3 linked regions of the Ovis aries genome follow. The protein of the gene in region 2 interacts with the protein of the main gene of each other region in a biochemical or structural test. Links are inferred from orthologs where the notes say so. Each region holds a gene or a part of one and is shown on either strand. Other genes may lie near its edges.

Region 1 (4,849 bases), on a different chromosome or scaffold from region 2:
AGTTCCCAGTGTCAGCTCCGGGACTAGACAGTGAGGAACCAGTGAGGTTACAGAAGGGGTCCAGCAAACAACATTCAGGGTTATGTAGGTGTCACCTTCCCACTTCAAGGAGTGTCCTTAGTTTTGGGTGATTTCACACCTATACTCTGAGAGGAAAGCTGAGGCCAGCAGAAACAAAATAACCATTTGAGAGCTACCTGTGATTTAAAAAGAAAAAAAAAAAACTTTAATTTTGTGACTGGTAATTTTAGAAGCAAACCAGTAATAATATTTAAAAAGAAAAGAAAAAAAAAAGGCTCACATCACCTCCTGTGGCATCTGCTGCATGCTGTCTGACGGCCCAGCTCTGGGTTGGTCCAGAGCTGTCTCCAGGCTGTCCCAGCCCTGCCTCTCTCGGTCAGGTTCTCAGCTCTAGGAGGGTCTCTGAAAAGTCATCCCACAGTCCCGCGTTGATTACAGCTGCAGTTACGTTACACTTGGGCTTCCCAGCTGGCGCTAGTGATAAAGAACACTCCTGCCAATGCAGGAGAAGTAAGACACAGCGGTTCGATCCCTGGGTCTGGAAGATCCCCCGGAACAGGGCATGGCAACCCACTCCAGTATTCTTGCCTGGAGAATCCTATGGAGAAAGGAGCCTAATGGGCCTCAGTCCATAGGGTCCTGCAGAGTCGGACAGGACAGAGCGTGCACACATGCAGTTACATTAGAGATGCACAGAGTGGACAGCCCAATTTTATGTCTTTGACACACAAAGAGAGTCCCCTGGACTGCAAGGAGATCCAACCAGTCCATCCTGAAGGAAATCAGTCCTGAGTATTCACTGAAAGGACTGATGCTGAAACTGAAACTCCGGTAATTTGTGCACCTGATGCTAAGAGCTGACTCATTTGAAAAGACCCCGATGCTGGGAAAGATTGAGGGTGGGAGGAGAAGGAGATGACAGAGGATGAGGTGGTTGGATGGCATCACCGACATAATGGACATGAGTTTGAGTAAACTCCGGGAGTTGGTGAAGGACAGGGTGGCCTGGCGTGCTGCAGTCCATGAGGTCGCAGAGTCGGAGACGACTGAGCGACTGAACTGAACTGACACGTAAAAGTAATAGAGGCCTGTTTAAAATGAAAGAAAAAGTGTCTAGATGTGCTCCCCTTGGTCAAGTTTCATTGAGGCCAGGTTTTCTCCAGTTAACCAGATCTTGGCCTGGTGCGGACAGGGCTCAGTGAGTCGGGGCGGAGTCTGTGTGTGCAGACGGAGGAGAGACGGGTGTTTCCGCTCGCACACGTGAGGCGTGGAGGGGCTGGGGGCCCCCCTGGCCGCAGCCTGTGCCAGCCACCCCACCAGGGCCGGGCCGGGGGCGGGCCGGGGGCGGGGCGATAGTAAAGCTCCTCCCCCAAAGGGCGGGCGTTGCCGTGCGGCGGGCGGCCTCGCGGTGCCTAGGCTTGGGCGGCCGGCCTGGGTCGCTCAGTCGCGCGGAGCCCCGCCAGGGATCGCAGGCGGCGGCAGGATGAACAGCATCAAGAACGTGCCTGCGCGGGTGCTGAACCGCAGGCCTGGCCACAGCCTGGAGGCCGAGCGCGAGCAGTTCGACAAGACCCAGGCGAGCGGCGGGGCTGCGGGCGGGCGGGCTGGCGGACGGCGCCTTCTCCCCTTCCCCTCACACACGTCCCTGGAGCCCGGCCTGCGCCCGTCCCCTTGGCGCCCCAGGCCCCTCGCTCCCGGCCGCCTGGGTTCCCTTGGCTGCATCTCGGTCACGGCCACCCCTGCTCCCCGGCCTCCGCCGGCCCGGGCGCAGGTGAACCGGAAGCGCGCGCCGGCGCCCGGGCCGGAGGCGGCGCGGGGGGCTGGGGTGGCCGGGACTGAGATGCCGCCGGGGACTGAGATGCAACTGAGGGGCCCAGGTGGCCCGGGAACCGGCCAGGTGTTCAGGGACTGAGATGCGGTCGGGGGCCGAGATGGCCAGGGGACAGCGGTGTCCAGGGACCGAGAGGCGGCCGGGGACCTCGGGTGCCCAGGGACCGAGAGGTGGCTGGAGACCTCAGATGGCCAGGGCACCAAAGTGTCCAGGGACTGAGGCGGCCGGGGACCGAGGTGGTCGGGAGCCGAGGTGGTGGAAAGGGATCCAGCTGGAGGGGGCCGAGACGCCGCGGTGGGCCAGGTAGGTCAAGGTACGTTTCGGGCCCGGGTGCGTCCAGCCCGGGTTGGCCCGAGTGGACTTATCCACCCTGGCCGCGCAGCGCCGCCCCCTCCCGGGCTCCGGCCACCTTTTTCCACGCCTTAAAAGAATGCCCTCTCTTCGGAGAAGCAATGCATTTCCTTCAAGGAAACTCAGTGCTTCCTTTCCTCCTGAGTTGTTTTCCAGGGCCTCACAATATCTTATTATCTGCTGGGTGAAAAGTTTCACGTATGTAGCCAGACTTGTTTGCTCGAGCCATTGGCCCACATATAAACAGGTTCACACCCCCTTATTAAATGCCGGCGCCTGACAGAAACTTCCTAGGGTTCCCTTCCTGCACTTCCCACGCTCAGGCATCTCTTCCTCAGGGTGGCCTGTCCTGGGAAGGTTATTTTAAAAATGAAACAATGACAGGGGGTGTGTATTTGTCCGTGTGTTCCTGCTGAGACCACACTGATGAGGGCGTTGGTGTTTCTGGTTTTCTGTTCCTTTTTATTTTGCAAACACTGAGGTGGTGTTCTGCCTGGGTGGGGGTGAGAGGAGCTTACTTGTTTATTCGCTAAAGTAAGTCAACCAGGACTGACACAACAGAAAGCTTTTCTTTAGAAATCAGCGGTGGACTTGCCTGGCGGTCCAGTGGTTAAGACTGTGCCCCGCAGGCAGGGGGCAGGGGTTCCATCCCTGGTTGGAGGACTAAGATCCTCCAAGAGTAGGCCAGAAAAAGAAAGGAGCTAAAAGGACCGAACTGACCCCTGTCTGAAGCCAGGTGGTGACATTTGTGTCTGCCATTATTAGTAAGGTTCTCTCAGTCTCTCCCTATAGGAGCAACAACTTCTGAGGTGTCTTTCAGATCAAGTTAGTACATGCAGCCTACGACAACTTTCGCTTTGAAGTAAGAGGAAATGCAGAGGAAACAGCTAACCTTTGTGCTTGAGATTAACCAGGAAAATGATAATAAAACCTTGGCTCTAGGAAAGCCTAGTGCTGAACCAACCTAGCCACAAATTATTAATTTATCCTTGTGATCATCACCATCCAGCCCCTGGTATATTTTCAGCCCAGATAGTCCATCATAAAAACAAATGTGGCATTTAATTTAAAGTCATTAATGCATAATTAACTGTGCCAGGAACTTTCAGAAGGATGGGGAGAAAAATTTAATTGGCAGAGAGAATCTGGATGTTGTCAGATGTTATTCATTCTCTGATTTTTAGTTTCTTTCACGCTTTTGAGAAGGTATAGAGAGGCCGGATTGCTACATAGAGGAGATGAAATTAAAGGGCTGAGTTCATTGATCTTACTCTTAAATTGTGATAAATCAAGGGCAAGCTTCCCGAATGTCAAAGAGAATCCCTGATACAGCACCGTATATTTTGATGGTTGGTTTGGTAAACAAGAGGGTGTTTTGTTCTTGCTGCTTGGTTTTTTCTCAGAGGCCGAGAGGGTTACTTATCATGAATAATTCTTTCTAATAGGTGAATCTCATAGGCTTTACCCATTCCAGGGCTCTTTTTTTTTTTTTCTAGAAAGATGAAGTTCAGGTTCACTGTCTAGATTTGTCTTCAGAATGAGTTACTGAGAGATGCAGGAATAAGGTTTTGTGCACGGTTAATATTTAATTAGATCGCTCCCAGAAATATCTAGTGAGCTGCTAGCCAGGCCCCATTGGAGGAAAGGACACAGAGAGCCGAAGCTGCTGCTTACAGGTCTCCTTCTGAACAGAAAATAGTGCATCCAGCCCTCGGACACTCCTTGCCTTCAGAATGCACTGTCCGGGTCTCCTCGTTGACCACAGTACCCTGTAGAGCAGAGGGGCATTTTGGCTTCCTTAGAACACATGTCCCCACTGTCCTGCCAGCCTCGCTATTCCTCCTGGGCTTATGGGTCAAGAAGAGGAAAAATGTGACTGACCACACCCTGTTTTGCAAAAGGGTTTCTAACCCCGCCCAGGTCAGGAAAGTGGAGGGAGGGCAGTCCTGCATCCTTCACGTTGCGGGTACTCGTGGTTGTTATGTGATGTCAGTGTGTGAGTGCCTGTATATTAATCCCCAGGGCGCCGTGCAGAAAGCTGGTCTATTGTTCCCCAAGACTTTATGGTCCCTTTGGTGATAAAGCCCCTTTTTAAAATGGAAGTGACAAAACTGTATTGGCGTTTTGTTGTTGTAGTATTCTGAATGCAGAATACTGTGGAATACAGCATCCCCGTGTTCTGAACATGAAAATCACCTGTATTGTTTCAAAGGCGGTGCAATATCACCGAAAGTCAGTGCACCTGTGTCCCTGGGCAAGGTGCTTAACTCCTGTTTCCTGGTCTGTGAAAATAGAGATAATTCCATCTACTTCCTTGGGCTGTTTCAAGGTCTAGAAACGATGGGGTGGGCTAAAGAGGCCCCCTCCCCGCCCCACACCAAAGATGTCCATGTCCTAATTCCTGGAACCTGTGAATATCTTAGCAGTCCTGGGTAAGAAAATGCTAATCAGAGGACCTTAATAATAGGGGGCATGGCCTGGGTTAGCCAGGTGGTCCCAGTGTAATTACAGGACCTTTAAATGTGGAAGAGGTCACAGGGAGGTCAGGGTGATGTGTGGTGAGGGGGACGCCATGGGACATTGCTGGCTTTAAAGCTGAAGGAGTGTGAGTGTCCTCTAGAAGCTTAAAAAGGCCAAGAAATGGAT
Region 2 (4,234 bases):
ACACCATGGCTCCTCTCATGTCCCCACCGCCCCCTCACGCCCTGATAGCTCTGCTCACCGGTTGTTGATCTTGTTCTTCTCAACTTGCTCACTCTGGCGCTGGTTCCATTCCTCCAGGTCCTTCTTGGCCTTCTCCCGCCATTCCTGCTCCATCACTTTGGAGGCAGCATCTGCAACCCCCAACAAGTGAATAAGCAGCAGCTTTCCAGGAGGAAGGGGAGGCACAGCGGCCCTAGGGGCTTCTCCCCTCAGCCCCGTCCTCAGCCAGTTCCCACACTAAGAAGCCCCAGGTACTCTAAGGCTTCCCACCCGACACGGTGATGGTCCCAAACCACCACCGCAGCGGGAAGCCCTGACACAGGGGGCCCAGCCCGGCTCACAGCCTCAGCCCTGTCCTCACCCAGCTCCTGCAGCCGTTTCCGCTGCTCCTCTCTCCACTTGCGGATGCTCTCGGGTTCCTGTGTCAGCCTGTCCGCCTGGGCGATCGCAGCATAGCCGTCTGCGGGACCGTTGGCCTCCTAGGACATAGACAGACAGCAGTGCACCCAGCCTGTCCACCGGCCCTTCTGTCTCAGCTCCTTGACTACTCCTTTCCAGTTACAGAGGCCACTAATTTCTCTTTATTCTTTAGCCACTTCTGGGTCAAAGTGTTGTCATTTCTATAAAGCAATAAAACCCTACACATCGGTTTTATTTAAACCCCTCACGTCTCAAACCATGTCATACCCACTGTCTCCTGTGACTGTACCCTGCCTTTGCACTTGCTGTGCCCTCCACTAACCACCCTTCCCCCTCTGTGACCCCGGGCAAGTTACTCAACCTCTCTGTGTCTGACTTTCCTCATCATAAAACAGGCTACAAAATGGCACCCACTCCATAGGGTTAATATGAAGATGGAATGAGTTTTAAAAGTGTCGAACTTCAAATGCTTCTTGGCACACAGAGGGTTCCCTGTGTTTCTATCATTAAAGTTCCACTCTGTTAGTTGCGGGCTTCCCACACGGCTTGGGTGTAAAGAATCTGCCAATGCAGGAGCCACAGGAGAGTCAGGTTGGATCCCTAGGTGGGAAAGAGCCCCTGAAGGAGGAAATGGCAACCCACTCCAGTATTCTTGCCCGGAGAATCCCATGGACAGAGGAGCCTGCCAGGCTATAGTCCATGGTGTCGCAAAGAGTTGGACACGACTGAGCACTGTTAGTTTTATTCACCCAATAACACACAGCCCCAGATGGCCTCACTTTATAATACATTTACTTGTCCATTGTCTGTCTCCTCTATCAGAACGTCACATTTGTGACAGCAGGGATTGGCCTGCCCTGTTCCCTGCTGTGTCCCCAGCACCCAGCACAGTGCCTGGCACAGAGCAGTGAACAGTCCTGAGATAGGCAAGGTGGGCTTAGCTAAGGTCGTGCAGTGATGGGAAGCTCAGACTTGGGGGCCAGACAATCTGGGGTCAGATCCCATCTCCACTGCCTGCTCCATGTGTGTCACTCAACCTTGCCTGACCTCAGTTTTCTCATCTGAAATGAAGATGATACTAAAACTGCCTCTAAGAGTCGGGGTGAGGATTTGATGCAACAGTACTTGTAAGAAATTTACAAGAGTGCCCGGCAGGGAGTGATGGCTCAGTAAATGATAGCTAGAATTATTATTATTATTCATTGTCATCTTATAGGGGACAGGAACTGGGGCCAGGAGAGAGGGCACAGTGTAGTGGCTGAACCTGGGCCGGAGTCCAGGCCTCCTCTGACTTCCAGGCCGGGCTCTGCCCAGCTCTCCAGGCTGCCTGCCAGGGTAGGGGACTCCAAGCATGGCAGGCTGAGAGCTCAGCCCAGACAGGCTGGGCGTCCCTCTGTTCTCGAAGAGCCAGAGCTTTTTTACAACCCAGCCCGTCTCTCGGCACTCCCACTCCGGCGCTCTGTCGGCCGGTGCATTCCTGTCTCCACCCATCCCACATCCACTCTGTCCCGCCTTTGTCTCTTGCTTTCGGCCTGCAATTGTCTCCCCTCCTTCCTCCAGCTGATGAAATGTTCCATCCCACGAGTTACTAGCTCAGAAGTCACCAGCTCTGGGCTATTTCCAAACCCTCAACCCTCAAGCAGATCTCACAGCCCTTCCTCTCTTCTACCAAGTGTGTCTCCTGGCTGGACTGCAAGATCCCTGTCAGCAGGGCAGAACCTTGTTTACAGCCCTATGAACCTGTCCCTCCTTTCACTGCTCTGTTGCTCGAGCACTCATCAAACTGTCATGAATCCCAGTGTTGGTTAATGTTTTCTCCCCACCCAACAGCGTCTGTCCAGTGGTGCCCACACAGCTGGTGCTTAACAAGCAGTGGCCATGTGGATGAAGATCCCCCCTGGGACCAGCATGTGCCAGTTCAGAGGAAGTGCTGGGTGTCTGTCCAGGGGGCTGTGGGCAGCAAGGTGAAGGAGCACGCAGATGGACGTAAGAGCTGCATCTCCCTGGGGAGAGAGAAGGGCAGGCCGAGGGCGGGGCAGTGCTGCCTGGCTCCTTGGATCAGACCCACCCTTGGGTGGGGCAGCTGGGGCACTGCCCTTATTCCTCCTTCCTGCCCAACATTATATTTCAATTCAGAGAGTCTCTCATGACATCTCAAGGGGCCTTTCCAGGGCCCTAATCTCGACAACACAAGTTGATCACCAATGTAGGGTGAGCCCCACCCTGTCCAGTTCTGGGAAAAACCCTGTCCTGAGGCCAGGCTACCAGGACCTCTACCCAATCCTATAGAATGTCCCATCTGAAGACAAGTGCAGTTACTTTGGTGTCTATGTGTTTATCCAGGTGCTACATTTTATTTCTTCTTGGTACTCATGATATCTTAAAAGACTGGCTTCCTTAGTGGCTCAGACAGTAAAGAATCTATCTGCCTGCAATGCAGGAAACCTGGGTTTGATCTCTGGGTCAGGAAGATCCCCTTGAGAAGGGAATGGTGACCCACTCCAGTATTTCTTGCCTGGGAAATCCCATGGACAGAGGAACCTGGTGAGCTATAGTCCTTGGGTTGCAAAGAGTTGAACATGACTAAGCAACTAACTTTCCGACTTTCATTACTATCTGCCCCCCACCCCTCCCCAGTAAATGAGTTCCATGCAGACAGAGACTATCTCTGTACAGAACCTAGGACAAGGAGGGCCTGGCTGTAAGAGGAGCTCAAGAACATCTCTTGAATGAATTAACATACGTTCATGCTTGGGAACAGAGATGAACAAGTTGGCCCATCATCCAGGAGCTTGGCAGAGGGAGTTTCTCACAAATGAAGACCATGACTTGGGGTACGTGCATAACATGGGTCATGAAAAGAGGGGGGACAAGGGAGGGCATGACCTTTCTAGCCTAGGAGCAGAGTAGGCTGGGAAGAGACAGGGGAAGGGCATTTCAGACCAAGAATTGGCAGCGTAAGGACCACGTGAGGCTGGTGCCTTTGGGAAAATGTGAGTGCAGACATGCTGCCACGTGTGGATGGGATGGGTTGAGAGAGGTGGGCTGGAGGGTCAGAAGGCATTCCATGGTGTCCTTCAGGACTCACCATCTCCTCTAGAAGTGTGTGCGTGCTCAGTCGTGGCAGACTCTTTGCAACCCCATGGACGGTAGCCTGACAGGCTCCTCTATCCATGGAATTTTCCAGGCAAGAATACTCAAGTGGGTTGCCATTTCCTACTCCAGGGGATCTTCCCAACCCAGGGGTTGAACCAGCATCTTCTGTGTCTCCTGCATTGGCAGGCAGGTTCTTCACCACTGAGACACCTGGGAAGCCCCACCATCTCCTTCAAGACTGCCCTAAAATTAAGACTCACAGGTTAGAGTGCTTAAAAACTTGCAAAGAACCTTCAGTTAAATGGTTCTCTTTGGCCTTCACAAACCTTCATGGTGGGTTTTATTATCTTTGTTTTACAGGTAGGAAAAAGTCTAGCTTCAAAGTCCCAAGGTCACCCAGCCAGCAACTGGCAGAGCCAGAATTCAAACTGAATTCCTGGGTGTAACACATAGCCAACAGGGGCCAAAGTCACTTCTGTGCCACGTGATTTTTTCCTCCCTAACACGTCTAGCATCCCAAGATTAGACACCGTGCCCTGTCCTCCCACTCCCAAGGGCCACTCCCTGTCTCTCTCACACTTGCCTTCATACCCTCTTGGCTCACTTAGTGGCTAGCTCAGGGATAAGAAGCTTCTAAGGCTACAGAGGACTCTTCTCAACAGACCTGTGGGGACAGCAA
Region 3 (4,829 bases), on a different chromosome or scaffold from region 2:
AGGAGAAGGGGACGACAGAGAATGAGATGGTTGGATGGCATCACCAACTCGATGGACCTGAGTTTGACTAAGCTCTGGGAGTTGGTGACAGACAGGGACGCCTTGCCTGCTGCAGTCCATGGAGTTTCAAAGAGTCCCACCCGACTGAGCGACTGAACTGACTGATTCACAGAACCTCCCACAGGATTGAACTCTCTCCTGGCTTGCTAGTGGAGGCCCTCGTGGGCTCTCACCTACTGCCGGAGTCTCCCCATTGGTTCCCTTCCTTCCCGTCGCCCCCAGAATCCCATCCACACGATGCCAGCTGGCAAAGCCGTCAGAGGCTCCCCAGTGCCTACATAGGCCCACCCCCTCTTCTGCTTCTCTATTGAATGTGTGAATTTTTATCAAAAGCTCTTAGTCAAAAAAAAAAAAAAAAAAGTAACGCCTTTCTTTACTTTGAGTTGCAAAAAGCATTTATTTTTAAAACATCAAAATTGGCATTTGAACAGAAAACTTTTAACTTTCTTCAGCATCTCGGCTAAGGATCTTACTTCCACCCCCTTCCATCCCCCCTACGCCTGTCGTCAGTACCTTGGCTGACGACGGAGCAGGATGGGAGGGGTGTCCCAGAGCCGGGGATAAATATTAAAATGTCCACATGGGTTTCTACCAACGAATACATCCTGACCAGATCCAGAGGGTGAGAGGTTTGTAAAGGTGTCGAGAAGTTTCCACTGACCCAGCCCAGCGCTCCCTGGTCTGCGAACATTACAAAAGGGATGGGCAGGGATTCGGGGCAGGGGCAGGACGAGGGAGAAGGCGGTGGGAGCCGCTACCCACGCCGGCCAGGTCTGCGACCCGCTGAACCAACCTGCGGAGGCCCGGCCTCAGGGCAAGCGCATCCTGGGACAGGGGCCGCCGAGCTGGTCCATCGCGCGCGCTCTTGTCTCCGGCCCGAAAAGAGTTAACAGGCCAGTCCCACGCGGGCCCGGATTCCCTGCGGCAGGCCCAACTCACCGCCAGCTTGACCCCCGCCCACCAACCAAGCCGGGACCTCGCGGCGCCCGGGGTGGGGTGGGGGGACTGGGAGAGTGCGGCTCGCTGGGAGCTCGCGGGTGCAGCCAGCGGCTGGGAGAGCCGCGCTCTGGGCGTCGGGGAAGGGGCGGGCTAGGGCAGGTCAGGCCCGCCCCCGCCAGGGGCGGTGGAGGCCGGTGACCGACAGGCCTCCGGGCCCGTCCCGGCGCGCCTGACGGTCCGGAGCGCCCTGCAGGGTAGGGCCGGGGCGGGGGCTCTGGAGAGGGCGGGGGCGGACGGGGAAGCCTCTGGGCTGGGGCGGGGCCTCGGCAGAGTAGCAGCGCTCTCAGCCAATGGGAGGCGGGCGCCTTCCCGTTAGCGCCGGATCCCAGTGGATAGGGAGGGGCGGGCGGCGCCGTGGGGATCCCGGGGCGGCTGAGGGCCCCTGACTCGGCTCCGCGCGGCGACATGGACCGGATGGCCAGCTCCATGAAGCAGGTCCCCAACCCCCTGCCGAAGGTGCTGAGCCGGCGTGGGGTTGGCGCGGGGATGGAGGCTGCGGAGCGGGAGAGCTTTGAGCGGACTCAGGTGAGGACCGGGGCGGGGTGGGGGACACCCCCGGTCGTGCACGGCTGGGGCATCCCGCAGTGTCCTGGAGGGGACTCGAAGGGAGTAGGGATCTTGCAGGCCCAGGGAAGGACTGAGCAAGGGGGCATCTGGTGCGGTGGTCAAGGCGGTCTGGGAAGGTCGGGGACCCCGGGGCCATCCCGGCTGGCCTGGGGGAGAGGGCAGGGCGGCTCTGAGCAGCTGGCACGGTCCGCGCGGTGCGACCGACTGGAGCCGGTCCCGGCGGGGCAGGGCAGGGGTCACGGGGGCGGTGAGAGGGGAAGGAACGCGAAAAGGGGGCCGAATGGAAGGGGTGCCCCTAGCTGGGGAAGGTCCCTGGCGGGGGGGGGGTGGCGCTGGGGGTCGCAAGTGTGGCTGCAGAGAGTGGGGCGCTGAGTCGGGAATGTGAGGGCTGGGGCGCCCTGTACTCTCCGCTCGATCACTTCAGGACTGCGTTGACATTCCCCCCGTCCCTAGCATCCCCTTCCTTGTGCCTCTAGCTTGGCTCACGCCAGCCCCCAGCTGTCGGCCTCGGAGGACCGGACTGAAGGGGTCTGAGCCCGGAGGAAGGAATGTAGGAAATGCGGTGTGTGGCCGAGTTTGGAAGATGACCGGGGGCTGGAGGAGGGGGCCGGCCCAAGGACAGATATTGAGGGTCCTGGACCAGTGGCCCCGATTCGGGTCAAGTTGGGTTGTTCTGGGGTGCCCAGAACCCTGAATCGGGGTTTTGATTTCATCCCCCTAAATGTGCCTGACAGCTAATAGGCAGCCTGCCCTAAATTGTCCAGCCTGAGCAGGGCTAGGGGCCAAAATTCCTCACTGTCATCAACAAAAAGCCACAATCCATTTTTACCTCAGAGTTTTAATGCCTGGTGTATTGATTGGACTGAATAAAGCTGACATGTTTATGGTGTTCATCGGCTGGTTTGTATGCAAAATCCATTTCGAAGGGCACAGCACTTCTTTTAATCCCACTGCTGAAGTTGTATGGGCAAGTTTGTTCCTCACTCGCGCTCACTCTTGCTCTCGGAGTGAAACCTTTGAAGAGCCAGGGGGCTTCCGCTGCCAGAAGCTGGTTCTCCCGTTCTGTTCTGCTCCCCACCGCCCTCCCCAAACTTAGTACCATGTGAAGGAAGGGCAGTGGGGTTTTAGATAAAGATTGTGAGGTCCTGATCGAGTGTTCCATGTAGGGAATCTTGCAAAGAAGGAAACTTTTCATGAAAACCCAGGAGACTAATTCCTCTTCTTTTTCCAGGCACCTCTGGCCCTTCACAGGTGTGTCCAGGTGGTGTAAAGTAGGCAGTGTCCCCTCCCTAGGTCATCATTCTACCCCACACGGGATGGGAGAGAAGGCTCTTTACTTCTCTCTCCCAGGGTCTGGCTGGGTTTAAGCTTTATTTTCTAATTCTGTGGATTGGACCCCAGAAAGGAAGGAAGATGCTTGTCTGCTATGGGCATTATGCCCTCGTCTAGCTGCCTGGGCACACAAGGCTTCTTGCTCCAGGAAACAGTGTAAATCTTTCTTGTAATGGACAAGGAAAATAAATGGTAATTCATTCCTTTTAGAGTCTCCAGTAAAAACTGGAGCAATAGAGAAATACACATAAGAGTTTGACCCATTATAGTGATGGAAATTAGGTTTGTGAAAGTTTCTCTAGCTATCCAGGGACGTCCCAACAAGGAGAGTCTAGGTCAGTGTTAGGCAGTATCTTACATTCTGTGGGGCACTGATAATTGGCCAGATTTGAGCTAGTGGCGTGTGTGTGTGTGTGTGTGTGTGTGTGTGTGTGTGTGTGTGTGTGTGTAAGGGAGGTAGAATGAATCAGGAAAAGAGTTTCTGTGTTGTTGAAACTATTAGGGCAATAAGAGAGTGAAGAAAAGGAAAGAGAACAATTCTAAAAACCTCACCTTAGTCAATCTGCAAAAATGTGTATTGTTTAATGACTACTTACCCAATGTATGTGTGTGTTAGTCACTCAGTCGTGTCTGAATCTTTGCTACCCCATGGACTGCAGCCTGCCAGGCTCCTCTGTCCACAGAATTCTCCAGGCAAGAATACTGGAATGGGCAGCCATTCACTTCTCCAGGAGATCTTCCCAACCCAGGGATCGAACCCTGGTCTCCCTCATTGCAGGCAGATTCTTTACAGTCTGAGCCATATGAACATGAGTTATAAAAAAAATTTAATGAGTTAAGAGACCATGGAATCAGTGAAGGTGGGCGGATGATTGTAACTAATTATGTTTGGCACTTTTCTGAGTACTTTATTGTATCACCTTCTTTAATTTCAGTAAAGTACTGTGAGGTGATATTGACAAGGACCTATGAGGTGAGTATCAACCACATTTTATCTGGAGGAAATTGAGGCACAGAGAAGTTAAGTAACTTGCCCAAGGTCAGACAGCATGTTGTGATCCCAACCTTTAACCACAGCTCTGTGTGGCTTCTGAGTACTGGGCCGAGCACTGGTATGGGAACTGGAAGAGGCTGAAATTTGATAGCCAGGCACATGGAGGGGCTGTGGTCCCAGGCAAGTTTTCCAGCTTTTCTTAGCCTTGGGTTCCTTATTGCAAAATAAGGATACTACTTACCTCACAGGTTGATTATGGGAGACTAGATTAAATAATATACCTGGAGGCATTTTGTAAACTGGAGAGCACTGTGGCGATGATGATTGCTATAATCTGAGGAGGAGAGGGGACCAGAAAAAAGGCCAAGTACTGGGGCAGGCTGTGATGAACTGTTCAGTAGAGGGACAGAAGTGTTCCTGGTTAATGCAGTGATTACCAGGAGTGATTGCTTAAAGTCCAGGCTGTTAGGGTGCGAAGCGGGTGGGAGCCCTGCGAGGTCTGAACCCCATCCTTCAGCCTGAGCCAGCACTTGCTGGGGAGAGAGGAGGGATGGGGCATTCCAGGAGAAAAGGTATGGTCTGGAGGCGGGTGTAAATGAGATTCATCAGTTAAGGTGGACAGAGCAGAATAGGCTCCTCCCACCTCCAAACGCCTTGCACCTGCTCCCTGTCCTGTCCCCGCTTCCCTGTGACCCCCAGCACCCCGTGAACTTCCTGAGGGTGGGACGGTGTCTCACTCGAACTTCTGTCCTCATGTGCCTAGGGCTGGTGTTAGTGGTGAAGTGACTGTAGTCTTGGGTCCAAAGTGACGAGTTGGCCCCGGCCGGGATGCCTGGCGTGGATGGGGAACTCAGCTCTGGGCCACAGGGCACATCTG

What was found.
Region 1: the proteins of CLTB (region 2) and HIP1R form a complex in vitro, tested with the Homo sapiens proteins (2 studies listed by BioGRID). The link is inferred for Ovis aries from reciprocal best matches to the Homo sapiens genes CLTB and HIP1R.
Region 3: the proteins of CLTB (region 2) and HIP1 form a complex in vitro, tested with the Homo sapiens proteins (2 studies listed by BioGRID, with this or other methods). The link is inferred for Ovis aries from reciprocal best matches to the Homo sapiens genes CLTB and HIP1.

Annotation. Positions count from the first base shown.
Region 1 is NC_056070.1:52,726,568-52,731,416, reverse strand, and holds the start of HIP1R (huntingtin-interacting protein 1-related protein), read left to right. Parts: upstream 1-1,463; 5' UTR 1,464-1,504; coding exon 1,505-1,597; intron 1,598-4,849. UniProt on the Homo sapiens protein: Component of clathrin-coated pits and vesicles, that may link the endocytic machinery to the actin cytoskeleton. Binds 3-phosphoinositides (via ENTH domain).
Region 2 is NC_056058.1:35,582,760-35,586,993, forward strand, and holds part of CLTB (clathrin light chain B), read right to left. Parts: intron 519-4,234; coding exon 401-518; intron 171-400; coding exon 59-170; intron 1-58. UniProt on the Homo sapiens protein: Clathrin is the major protein of the polyhedral coat of coated pits and vesicles.
Region 3 is NC_056077.1:34,460,448-34,465,276, reverse strand, and holds the start of HIP1 (huntingtin-interacting protein 1), read left to right. Parts: upstream 1-1,443; 5' UTR 1,444-1,464; coding exon 1,465-1,584; intron 1,585-2,159; exon of another isoform or gene 2,160-4,829. UniProt on the Homo sapiens protein: Plays a role in clathrin-mediated endocytosis and trafficking. Involved in regulating AMPA receptor trafficking in the central nervous system in an NMDA-dependent manner. Regulates presynaptic nerve terminal activity.